2 linked regions of the Caenorhabditis elegans genome follow. The protein of the gene in region 2 purifies or fractionates together with the protein of the main gene of each other region. This does not show direct contact. Each region holds a gene or a part of one and is shown on either strand. Other genes may lie near its edges.

Evidence for each region. Proteins that work in one complex are often made in the same cells at the same time.
Region 1: the proteins of sgca-1 (region 2) and atic-1 fractionate together in Caenorhabditis elegans (co-fractionation; one large-scale study listed by BioGRID). This does not show direct contact.

What each region holds. Positions count from the first base shown.
Region 1 is NC_003282.8:7,879,747-7,886,483, reverse strand, and holds the start of atic-1 (Bifunctional purine biosynthesis protein ATIC), read right to left. Parts: upstream 4,457-6,737; 5' UTR 4,418-4,456; coding exon 4,396-4,417; intron 4,126-4,395; coding exon 3,878-4,125; intron 2,648-3,877; coding exon 2,536-2,647; intron 1,039-2,535; coding exon 947-1,038; exon of another isoform or gene 914-946; intron 1-913. Other genes in the region: srt-73 (Serpentine Receptor, class T), read right to left, coding at 5,450-5,564, 5,616-5,812, 6,114-6,224, 6,315-6,422, 6,470-6,601, 6,649-6,737.
Region 2 is NC_003284.9:6,785,718-6,792,571, forward strand, and holds sgca-1 (Dystroglycan-type cadherin-like domain-containing protein), read right to left. Parts: upstream 3,832-6,854; 5' UTR 3,811-3,831; coding exon 3,660-3,810; intron 3,615-3,659; coding exon 3,516-3,614; intron 3,432-3,515; coding exon 3,324-3,431; intron 3,268-3,323; coding exon 3,175-3,267; intron 3,125-3,174; coding exon 3,001-3,124; intron 2,958-3,000; coding exon 2,795-2,957; intron 2,738-2,794; coding exon 2,648-2,737; intron 2,239-2,647; coding exon 2,060-2,238; intron 2,002-2,059; coding exon 1,796-2,001; intron 1,750-1,795; coding exon 1,586-1,749; 3' UTR 1,548-1,585; downstream 1-1,547. Other genes in the region: bgal-2 (Glycoside hydrolase 35 catalytic domain-containing protein), read left to right, coding at 1-8, 50-429, 476-553, 820-957, 1,003-1,146, 1,194-1,358, 1,407-1,547; asp-3 (Aspartic protease 3), read left to right, coding at 5,474-5,532, 5,613-5,889, 5,941-6,045, 6,099-6,854.

The sequences.
Region 1 (6,737 bases), on a different chromosome or scaffold from region 2:
AGGCTTTAACACGAAAAAACTTATGACGTCGCCGTCCACCCAGTTTTGGATCATTTATAAAGAGTTGGTGTTCTCTTGAGATATTTCTTTCTTTTTTTAACCAAAAAGTGGGTTGGTAAGGGTCTTCGACGACAAATGGCTCCCTCAAGGAACTTGCGGAGCGTGTCAAAATATTTCATTCATTCTTTTAGCTTCATCTCCCTTTTTTTGGCTTTTCGGGTTAAAAAGAGAATACAAGAAAAGCGTGGTGATAAGTTATATGAAGGATCCTTGTTTTTATTTGTGGATTGCTGTGATCAAGAAGCTTTAACATCGTTTGAAGAACGAATCGATGAACAAGGAAATGTCTGTGCTCATTTTAGAGCCTACGTAATGTGCATTTAAAAAATGTAGTGACAGAAAATCACAATTAACTTGAAAAAAATAGTTCTGAAATTTGTTTAGTTAGGGATGTCAAACCGGAATTAATAGGACGTCCAGCATTCGCTTTTACTAATACTGGACGAGCAGGTACTATTTTTTCGGCGTTGCAATTAAATTTTTTTCTTTTCAAAAACCAGATTGCATGACTTTGGCTTATTGCAATAAATGAACATAGTTTTTGTTTTAAAATTCGTAAAGTTTGGAGCGAGAAGTGAAATCTGAACGTTTTTCACCACATCCAAGGTTTTCCAGTTGTTCTCAAAATCATGAAACTTTTTGGAAACATCCGAAATTGTTATCTGGTTCCGAATAATCTCTAAACAAGTAAATTTTTGGCTCAAAATATGTTCAATAAAATTAAAAAACTGGCAAGTGAACTGTAGAAAAAAAATCATATAAATATCTGATAACAATGTTTAATCATTGTAATTTAGTAGCTTAGTATTATTTCCCACATATTTATTTACTGGCCTTATTGAAGCTTTCATCGGTTGTGATGATTTATTAACCATCTAAAACTAACCTCCGAAATGATATGATCGTAGTCAGCAGGATCACAGATCACACTGACACGTTCGTGATTCTTGGCAGCTGCTCGAAGAAGCGTGACTCCTCCTGAAATTGAGAATGTAGTTGAAATCGAACGTTTCATTCTCTTTTATAGCTACAATGAAAATGGACCCACGGGGACAATTGAAGGTTTATAGATTTACTCTCTGATGTCCTACTGTACAATTAATAATAAAACCGGACACAACAACATTTTAAGAATATGAGTTTATATTGTGATATAGATTCTAGAAAAAATCTGGGCGGGTTTTACATACCCGGAAAAACAGGAAAAAAGGTGAAAGATTCATGAAACAAAAGCCCTTTTAATGGGATAAAAATGTAGGAAACGGTTGGAAAAACAAATACAATGGGTACAATTGAACGAATATTTCCACTTTTTTGTACTTTGTGCTAAGATCATAAAATGTCTATAACCTTATCCTTTTTTTAATATTAAAAAAACCATTCGATTAGAAGTTATAATATGGAAATTTCAATGATACCAAAAACTAGAGCTCAAGCTTTACGAAATGATGCATTCGTAAGATTTGCTCCTTTAAATGTTTCTGAAAGAATTTTCTGAAGATGATCACAGATTATATGAACTTATTGAGAGGAAGTATAGAATGAAAGTGTAAACGAATTATTATTTTCTCAGTTTTTTGTTGGTTGTATTGTCTTTTTTTGTGAATTCTCCAGCTTCCGTGTTAATTGAATTTATATTTTGAGGAACTAAAAAAGACGAACAAGAAGAAAATATAATTGTTTTGGTGTCAGAAAGGATTTAGGAAGGGAGAAGAACAATACATACATGTTTTCACAGTGATAAGTAGAGAACGATTTTTCAGAACCTGAACGTGCCCAATTTCACGAAATTGATATTTCAATTAGCTCAAATAAAACTACTTGATCATAGTATTGTATGTGATAATATTGCCAATTATTAAATCATTCACTAATGCTAAAATGACGAATTACATAACATAGTAAAACTTATCAAAAATCTTGAATTTTTATTTTCATCCAAAAGTGACAATTTTCCCCCTATCATAATAATGGAAGGCGACCGAAATATTATTTTTTATACAAAAAATATATTTTGATAATGTTTAAATTATTTTCAATTGAACATTGTAAGTCTTTGAAAATGCAAGAATGGTCTATTTCATTGACGAACATCCGTTTTAACTTGATTGAATTATTAGCTTGAAGTAGAATTACACCCCTTAAAATTATATGCTATTCCAATGAACTATAATATTTGGTAACTTATTTAAAAACAGGATGAACACTTTAAATTTGAAAAAATTCAACTTTTTAATCTAGGCCGTATGTTTTGGTTATGAAGTTCTGCTAAAATGATTTTCTGATTTCAATTTAAGCTGTTCCTGTGAAAAAATGTTGATGTTTGGTTTAGGGTTAGAAGTCACGAAAGGAGCAAAATAAGTCAAGTGCATAAATTGAAATCAAAAGGAACAAGGGGAAAAAGAAAGATGGCAACATAAAACAAAGTCAATTTTCCGGATGAATAAACTCAAAAAAAGAAAGAAATAAACGAACCAATGTCAATGTTCTCAACAGCTTCTTCTACAGAGCAATCCTTGGATTGAACAGTTTTTTTGAATGGATACAAGTTGCAAACCACCACTGAGACGAATGAAATGTTGTGTTTCTGGAAGAAAGAAAATAACCAAAAAATACAAGGAAGGAAAAGAAGATGAAACAAATTCAATTGAAAATAGAAAGAGAAGGTAATTGAATAGACACGGGCGGTAGAAACTGACACGTAGGCTTGCTCTCGGTGCATCATAACAACACCCCAATCAGTTGTGTTCGTTGATTTTTACGCCAATTTTTATGGATGTTCCAAGTTTAATTTTACTCTATGGTTGATGACGAAAGTTGAAGGTTTACAGATTATCTCACAAAAATCTTATTTTCACTCTGAATTGATAAAATATTTCTAAAAATACACAATAGAATTTCAAATAATATAATGTTCCTGGAGTATTATTTTTTGATTATCTCAGAGATTCAATGTTTATCCTGAAATGCAATATGACTGTAATACAATTTTCCGGCAAACAAAGTTTTTTGACTAATATTTTGCCGTTCTCCGTTCAACTGAACGCTAACTTTATGAAATTTTTTTTCGGTTTCTAATTAATAATTTAATTTTAAAGGTGACATATCTCAACTTTGTCTCAAAGTGTTCTAGCCATCAGGGCTGGCACTTTAATCCCAACAAGAGGCAAGACATAGGTTGCGAAATGCGCAAGTAACAAAAAATTGATTCAAAAAAATCCGAAAAAACTCTCTAACCCGTTTTCCAAAAAATTGTAATCCAACTTCAAAAAATTAACAAACAATTGTCAAAGTTTCAGATTAGACTAACTTTTTTTTTAAACAAAAGCGAGATATAATGTTTATTTAAAAAAAAATTATATAATTCGAAATAAGAATTGAAATTTGAATGAAGTCGTGACGACAAAATGAAGAAAAAGAGGACGAAAAATTGTCTTCTAATCTTCTTTTTGTCTCCTTCTCAACTCTTTATTTTCACGAGATAAGCCTTCTTCATCTGACGAAAGGACCAACTTTTTGTCACCCGTTAGCCCTTCTTTTTTTGGTTTTTTTTCTTCACTTCATTCTATTCAATCATGAATTCGATTAAACTAAGTAATGGTGAAATCTTTCAAGCCAGTACAAAGTTCATTTTGTGAGATTCCCGGAAGTTCTACAAAATCCGATCTTTTGTCAGAATTGTTTTGCACAAATGTTGCAAATTTATTTATTTCCACTTAATATAATTTGCAAGTTTCAGTTGAAAACGGTTCGACAACAAACAAGTTAGTTTACAAATAAAAAAAATTCAAAAAAAAAAGAAAATAAGCTATCTCACCTCTAGATCCTTTCGATCACTTTCCGTATCTCTTGCCAAGATTCCTCCATGAACGGCAGGATGCAGAGTTTTAACTCTTCCACCAAGCATCTCAGGAAACTTTGTTACATCTGCCACATCATGAACATCAATTCCTTGATCTCTGATCGCTTTCGCTGTTCCACCGGACGCAATAAGTGTTAAGCCAGCAGATACAAGTCCATGAGCAAGAGGAATAAGTCCTGTCTTGTCAGAGACCGATATAATGGCTGAAAATTAAAAATGTTTAGCTTTATACTTGCAGTTTATTTTAGTTCATTATTGTAGTAGTTTTCATTTGTTAAATACACAAAAAAGGGTTTTCCAAATCAAGGAGCGAGGTGGGTGAGGTTAGAGGCGGGGAAGAGGTGCCCCCGTAACGCCTCGACCTGGTGGAATGTCTAGTTCAATAAATAATTTTAAAGAATAGAAATGAATTATATTTATTCCGGGATTGCTTGAAAAATTAATTTAAAAAAATTCAAAATGAAATTACTTACCAAGTGATTTTCCGTCGGTCATTTCACACAATTCGTCGATGTATTGTATCAAGTCGATAGTCTTGTAAAATTCAATTTCTAACATTTTGTTTAATATTTTTTATTCGAGACGTAAAAATCACACAAAATAAAAAATGAACAAGGAACCAAAAAACACTAAAAATAGAAACTTTTGAGATAATCACAGGAAAACGATGGATGAGGAGAGCATGAGTTTATGCATTTATAAGTATTATTTTGTGAACTTTGAAATCTTGAACATTTTTGGAAAAATACACTCAGAAATTGGCAACTTTTTCAATGAAAAATGTCTTTTAGACTGGTCAAATTGAACAGTGTTGCTCAATTTTTCAATTGATAAGATAAATTTGATAACGAGGCAAATATTATTGTGTTTTTATTGCTTGTAGATGAAAGAATTAATAATCGAAAAAAAATCAGAAGTAGAAAATAAAAAGAACTTTGAAATCGATTTTAAATATCGCAAATATTATATAACTTTGAAATCTGTGTTGGTGTTTCAAAAACCAATAAAAATCTAATGTTTCTCTGTTCTTATAATAAAATCAAAGCTTCGAATTGGAGATATACGTACATTAATTTTTTTTTCTCGATTTGCCAGAAAATCTTCAAAATTTCAAAAAAAAATTCAATCGGTAGTTTCCCTTGATAACAAAACACAAACATTTTTATTATGAAGTGATGGTGTCTCTGTTTTACGACGGTTTTTATTTGTTTCTGTGTGTTATCAGTTTATCAATGTTTTACTTTGACAAAAGCTTTTTTACTCTGTCCACCTATACTTGCAGAATATTCCTTAAAATTGAAAATATCGAGAGGATCTGTTTCCTCTCATTTCAGTTGTTAGCAGTAAATTAGGCTTCATGTAAAAAGATTTCTGTGTCTAGATTTCATGGACCTATAAATAAATGTTTGGAAATCGATGACAAGAAATAAATTGTTTTTATTTCTAGACATAATTATTTTTTCTAATGATATCTTTCTATTTCTTAAATTCTAAAAACTAAAAGTTATATTTTATTTGAAGACCTGACTACATTTTAGCTCCGGATTGTCGAACTGTTGATACGTGCGAAGCAACAAACATTGTACGTCCACTGACTTCTGTTTGTTTTCCAATTGATGCTAATACCAGGTTACGAATACGACTGCAACTTTTTTTAAAAATGTTTTCAGTCAACCAAAGTTCTAAAACTTACGGATTAATTAATACATAAAGCATTGAATTGATTGAATTCCAAATCATCCATACAACATGTCCAATGAACACTCCAATTGGTAATTCCCATGGAATTGGTAGATATTCCCATGTCAAATACCCAATAACATGAAATATAGAAACACATAATACTTGAATTGTCAATATTAATTCTTTCTTTGACAATAATGCTGCTTTCTGAAAATCAACAAATGTTGAAAAATAATGAAACATTAGCTCTTCTGAAGGGAAATGAAAAGTTTCAAAACATTCTTAATACAAATATCTGCCCTTTGTTTGCGACTACTGTGAAATTTTTTTCATATACCTAAAACGTTTTGAGATTTGACGAATTGAAAATTTAATTCGAAAATCATGGGGTAGCTGTAGATGATATTGTACTTGAAAGTTTTTTGCATGAAATACTGTAGAAACAGTTTTCGATAAGTTTTTTTCTTCAATTTTCTTTGAAACGAAATTATATGTATGTTTTACTCACAAAATAAATATAACTGAAGATAACCAAATGAGCAAATAATGAGAATACGACATCTATTAAAGATATATCAGCACTTACAGACCTTAATACAGCTGATAATGGATTTGAAGCCTGGAAATAAAATTGAAAAGTTGACTATCATTTGGCAATATGCGAAGCTTTCGCCAAACATAAAGTGGGACTTCTCACAGTTGTACTCACGGCATAGTGCCACGTGTAAGCAGGTAATAAATAAACCATTCTACTGAATCCAAAAGCATTTAAAAAACAAACTATACACCATACAATTAGAACTATAGTGAAATATATCTGAAAGGACGGAATTGAAAAAAAGATAAATCATGTTAATAACCTACTTTCATATTGAAAGAATTAAATATTTTGTTGGATTGAAAATGAAAAACAATTGAAATGAGCCGATTAATATTTAAAAATATGCTGAGAATGAGCATTGAGACCCATGATGCATTCATCACAGCTCCGATTAACTGAAAATAAAAAAAAATCAGGATAAGATCTGCTAACGAAGACATACATAATCGGGAAAATCAAAGTGAGGTTTAGAATTTAAAATGTAGAATACTGCAGTTAGATGTATAAATAATTGAATTGTGTCAAAGAAAG
Region 2 (6,854 bases):
GGCAAAAAGTAAATTTGCAAATAACTTTAAAATTATAATTATTTTTCAGCCGCATTTGCATTGAATGCTAGTTTAAGCTTTCATATGACTCACGGCGGCACAAATTTCGGATATTGGAACGGAGCCGTCGATCCTTACCCTGTCACCACGTCATATGACTCATTTGCTCCTATTTCTGAAGCTGGTGATGTTAATCCACTGTATATTTCCATTAGAAATTGGATCAGCAACATTCCTGGCTGGCAGAATCCGCCGACTCCAATTCCAGCTAACTTACCACGGACTGCGTATCCTGACGTCCAACTCACAGTATTTGACACAATTTCTGGTTTCATAATTGGCGCAAATCCCGAATGCTGGAGCAGCCCAGAAACGCCTAGAACGGCTGAATATATTCGTCAAGGATATGGATACATTTATTATAATACTGTTGGTTTTGAGATTTTTAAATTTCGTATAGTGTTGGTTTTTCCAGACCATTATTGAGTGCGGATCCCTGTATATTCCAACTTTTGCTGACAATGCGTATATTTTCTTGAATCAAAACTTTGTGGTAAACTTTTATATTTGTATAGAATTTTTGAAAAGTGAAGAATTTAGAGCACAGTTGTAAATTTAAACCTGGCTTATTTGAATCTAAACATTTGAAGGTACTGAAAAAATTACCGTTATGGAAAAAGGTATTTTGAAATTCCAAAATTAAAAACGTGCCAAACTTTTATAGCTAATTTTAGCATTGTAGAAGAAGTTCAGGAGAATTCATTGCTTGAATATTTATGTCATGACTATCAAAATTGATAGCATAATTATTTTGTTCAGGGTGCCCTTTACAAACAATTTGGCTCAATTCACAATAACACCATAGATGTTCAAGGATGTTTGGACCAGTTCAACTCATTGGAAATCATAATTGAAATAACTGGTAGAGACCATAACAACTACCCTGTTATGTCAAGAGTAAGGCCCCAACGTGTACGTTTTCAATTGAGAAGTTTCTTCCAGGGAATTCAAGGAAATGTCTACATGCGTAACATAACTCTCGAGAATTGGGAGAGCTGTGAAGTTCCAATTGAAACATACGAAATTAGTTTGGTGAAAAATTACGAGAGTCTGAAGCAACATGTTTTCGAAACAATTGACTTTGAAGTATCAGCTACTTCAAAAACGTGCGTCATATATTATTTTATTTACAGAAATCTCAATCGGCAGCAATAGAGCAACCGTCGGTGTTCATTGGAAATTTAATAATCAAAACAGCTCCAGCTGACACTTTTCTAGACACAAGAGGTTGGGGAAAAGGCGTTGTGACTATCAATCAGTACAACATTGGACGATATTGGGCTTCTATTGGACCACAGGTGCCCAATTTACTGTTTTTAATATATTTTTCAAAAGTTAATTTTCAGCAAACTCTTTATATTCCATCGGAATTCCTTCACAAAGGGGAAAATCTCATCATGTTTTACGAATTTGAAGGCGCCACAACAGCCTGTACAGCAACTGCTTGTACAGCAAAATTCACAAATATCCCGGTGTTTGATTATTGAGATCGTTTATTGAATACTTATAAATGTAATTTAATAGTCTAGTTGTCTTCATCAGAACTCTCCGTATCCTGTTCATCACTTTCATTACTCAGAGGGTTTCTGTACAAATGCAAAGAACTTCCACACTGTTTTGCCGCTTCTGCAACAGTTTGTTTTCCAACCGGGACATGATCAACTGAAGGGAGAAGCTCAATTGTATCCTCTGAACAAACATAATTAATCAAAGATAATATTAAAAACCAAAGTACCTTTATCATTAAGTCTACTCGCACTTTTGCTAAATCTCGCAATACTAGTGCTTGGAGCTCTACTTCTTGATTGTAAATAAGAATGAATTCCAGAAGGCGCAGTGGAGTTCGTGTCTGGTCCCATGCTCAGAAGTTGCCTTTGAAGTGATAGTTCGCGGAGCTTCTTCTGATTGTCACGAATGCTAATGAATTCGCCCAATGTTTCACTGTAAATTAGCTATGTACAAACATGTACAATAACTGAAGTTAAAATGTAAAATATACCCAGACGTTTTGTCGTCTCTCCATTTCTGCCCTTCTCTTGACCCAAAAAAAATGAGCACGAGTGCAAAAACAAAAAGAATTGAAACACCAAGAATTATGGCAAATAAGACGATGCTAAAACCATGTTCTGAGTATCCATATAGTTCACGTGGGGGTTGTTCAGGTTTTTCGTTCAAATTCTGAAATGTAAAGACATTTTTTCTGAAATTTTTTTTTGAAAATTTCTGAAATTAAATTCTAAAATTTGAAGAAAACATTAATCACATGCCCGGTCCGCTTCTTTCAGGTTATGGTTACTTGCCGCAATACTTTCGTTTGCTATTTGCCAGCTCACCCCGATAACCGCACGCGATTATTGTGGCTATGTAAAATTTCAAGGCCAAATGCATATTTTATGCTTAACTGTCAAACTTTGCTAATCCGTCCATTTCCATCTCGCTACTACTTTATTCGAGCCGTTCAATTGGTTTGTTAAGCTATTCTTCAGTGTAAAATGTTGAATAAACTAATAATCAAATGAAAACTAAGTTACGGTCGCTTCAAAGCTGTGCATTTCTCAAAACATGTAGAGTTTTGTTTAAAAGTTACCTGATCTGGATTCGCTTTTGTCAGTTTCTCTTCTTGTTCATCCTTTATCAATTCATCAATACCTTCTCCTTCAAGAGATGAAATATTTCTCTGAATTAATATTTAAACATTTTAGAATGTTGACAAATTTAATTATTTTGTTCTTACTACCGCAACATTACACCAGTCCACCGGAAATGTTGGTGCAAAATACTTATTCATCACGACAGATGAGGGATTTGAACAAAACTCGGGCATAGTTTGTAAATTGTGTACAATTGACATGGTTCCGGGATAGAACTTTTGCTGTGTACCAACATACACCATTGTTCTGAATTTTTCAAAAACTGAATTGAATTAAAACATTTTTTTACCCGAAACTATTTTTGAAAATGTGCTCCTTGCCACGTGGAATAATGTATCTGGAGCGAACACCTGCAATATATGGGTTTACATTTCTTCCCCGGAATGTGTTTCGCAATGAGTTTTCTAGTTGACCTGAACAATATTATGATGATGATGACAAAAGTGTGTTTTTTATTACTCACTTATTTTTCTGTCTCGATTTGAAACTAAATCCTCTACATCTAGTCCATTTATTGGCAGTTCAAAAACTTGTTGCGTATTTCCTTGATACAATGCTGCAAAATTACAGTTTACTGTTTCTTTTTTTTAATGTTCTAAACTATAAACTAACAGTCTTCCACCAAATTAATCACCACCATTCTTTGCTGTATATCAAAATTATCCAGTCGTTTCGCAATCACGTGTAGTGTAACATGCTGCACATTTGTGACCGGTGTGCCTGAAACATACATAACTACGATAAAAATCATAAGATGATTTTATTTTTATGAATGTACTGGTGTGTTAATAACTAATCGATCACCTATTAGATAAGCGATTTCCGGGTGTCGCGACGGTAAGAGACGTAACCAGTTTGGAAGAGCCGGCTTTTTGTTTAGCGTAGCTTCCCATTTCACTTTAACTGAAAATAAAAGAGCAATTGATAAAAACGATCAATAGTTTGCACCTGTGCTCGGGAAAAAGTGTGCAGAATGGAGAGTGTGGACAAAAAACTTTCCCTTGGTTGCAGTCACGTGAGTAGGAGCTTTGAATGATTTCGACGTTCGAAATAGCAACAAAATGGAGAATATCGAAAAATCGAGTAAACGAATTTTCATTTTAAGTGAAGATTTTGTGTGAAAGAGATGTGTGGAACGAGATCCTTTACAACGGCTGCTCGCTGAGCCGTCCGCACAAACTTTTGCTTTTTACACAGCTCAACTGGGTTGGCGGTTTGAGGGAAGCTGCCAACAAGACCCGCCGGGGAAATCATTGTTGACGATATTTTAGAGCATGATGAACTTGATGAGATAAACTGATGTGGTGGGGTTGATTGATGTCGTCTCAATAATGTTTTTAAGATAAAAATAATGAATATATACATTAAAAACGATACTTGAAAGAAAACGTGATATGAATGTCTTTATTTGGAATTTTGGTTTCAGGAGAGTCTCTCTTTCAGAAATTCAGAAAAGGGGTGAACAATTTTTAATCTAAAAGGTAAAAAGTTGTTAAAGAAAGAGTAAATATTAAGAAAATTGTAAATTTTTCAAAGTTAGACTTTTTAAAATCATTAAAAAAAACTAGAGCTAGGTAAAACTTCAATTTTGTTTAATTAGCCTTGACACAGCGGCTGGGAAATAATTTATCATTCTACAAAAAGTTTTTTCATTTTCGTCATTTATACACTTTTTTTTGTTGAAAAAACTAGAATTCAGAGTTTGTCAAAGGTTGGGTATTGGCCGTTGTGAAAATGAAATTTAAATTGTGGTTTAAAGGTTTAAGACTATAGTGAAACTTTTCAAACGACTTTTTAAATTTTTTGTGCAGTCGAAAATTCAAGAAAACTTAGTTTTCACCTATCATAATTCTGGAAGTGGCTGGAAAACAATATAATTTCCAAAATTTCAACTTAAAAGTATATATATCTAAAAGTTTTTGAAGTATGTATATTTATATTATGATTATTGGTCATGCACGACTAATATAAGTGTTTTTAAGCCAACAAAAAATATTGTTAAAAAACTTTCGGCCAATTTATAGTAACACATGTTTTACTACTTAAAACTTCAATACTTGGTTCAATGAAACAAATTTATAAAAATTACTTCAGGTTCTAAAATTATTAGTAATTGTATACACACCTGCTCCACCACTGCAACAGTTCTCAATTTATTTCATCTAGTCCAATGTCCAAATTCTGATTTCGTATTCCCTATCTACTTCGTAACGAAAATTGTGAGACAATTTGACGATAATGATAATGATTTCATATTTTGTGAAAATAAGCCGATTAAATTTTTAACGTGTGGAACTTTCTAGAACTAATTTTAAAGTGTAGTCATATTTTAATAGGGGAGAACAAATCTGAATTGTAGGCCATTGAAATTGTTATTTTGATCAGAATGACGATGAGGGTGTGACGACGACAAAGCAGTGTTGACTTGTTGCTGAAAGTACATATGATTTTGCTGGAAAAAGTTTAATGTGTTCTTTTGGCAAACAGAACGCTATAAAATCCGGATCCTTGTCAGCAAGTCATTTTGTCAACCCGGACACTTTTTAATGGTTTTCCCTCATTTTACACACAAAGTACACTACTTTAATAGCCGATCTAAACTTTTGACTCGGTGAGAGGAAATAATTCCGTTTTCAGCCAGCCAACCTCCTCTACTAATTATCACTAAAATCGGTTGTGACGTTTACAATTATATCATCAAGAGTTTGTGTCGCATATAAAAGAAACCCGGAGCGCTGCTTCTCAATTAGTGATAACGCACCATGTCGGGCCGCGTTTTCCTTCTTCTGGCTCTTGTCGCCTTGGCTTCTGCCATCCAGAGGTTAGTTACATTTTTAATATACCATTCATATATTTAAATTATTTTATTTTATTTATTTATCATGTTTCTTCTTTTTTTAGAATCAAGCTCGAGAAGCGCACTTACACTCGTGAACAATACAAGTTCGGATCAATCCAAGAGCATCTTAAGGCCAAGTACGTCCCAGGATACATTCCAAACAAGGATGCATTCAACGAGGGTCTTTCTGATTACTCCAATGCTCAATACTATGGACCAGTGACCATTGGAACTCCACCACAAAACTTCCAAGTTTTGTTCGATACTGGATCCTCCAACTTGTGGGTGCCATGCGCCAACTGCCCATTCGGAGATATTGCCTGCAGAATGCACAACAGAGTTAGTTTTGAAGTATTCAAATCAACTTTTTTTCAATAAAATAATTTTCAGTTTGATTGCAAGAAGTCTTCTTCCTGCACTGCTACTGGAGCCTCTTTCGAGATCCAATACGGAACTGGATCCATGAAGGGAACCGTTGACAACGATGTTGTCTGCGTAAGTCAATCTTATGATGTTATTTACAATATAGCTGAAAAATATATTTATAGTTCGGACATGATACCACCTACTGTACTGATAAGAACCAAGGATTGGCCTGTGCTACTTCTGAGCCAGGAATCACCTTCGTCGCTGCCAAGTTTGACGGTATCTTCGGAATGGGATGGGACACTATCTCTGTTAACAAGATCTCTCAGCCAATGGACCAAATCTTCGCCAACTCCGCCATCTGCAAGAATCAACTATTCGCTTTCTGGCTTAGCCGTGACGCCAACGACATCACCAACGGAGGAGAAATTACCCTTTGCGACACCGATCCGAACCACTACGTCGGAAACATCGCTTGGGAGCCACTCGTCTCTGAGGACTACTGGAGAATCAAGCTCGCTTCGGTTGTCATCGATGGAACCACCTACACCAGCGGACCAATCGACTCGATTGTTGACACTGGAACTTCCCTTCTCACTGGACCAACTGATGTCATCAAGAAGATCCAACACAAGATCGGAGGAATCCCACTCTTCAATGGAGAGTACGAAGTTGAGTGCAGCAAGATTCCATCTCTTCCAAACATCACCTTCAACCTCGGAGGACAAAACTTCGATCTTCAAGGAAAGGACTACATCCTTCAAATGTCCAACGGAAACGGAGGATCCACCTGCCTCTCTGGATTCATGGGAATGGATATTCCAGCCCCAGCCGGACCACTCTGGATTCTCGGAGACGTCTTCATCGGACGCTTCTACTCGGTCTTCGATCATGGAAACAAGAGAGTTGGATTTGCCACCTCTAGAACCGGAAAATAA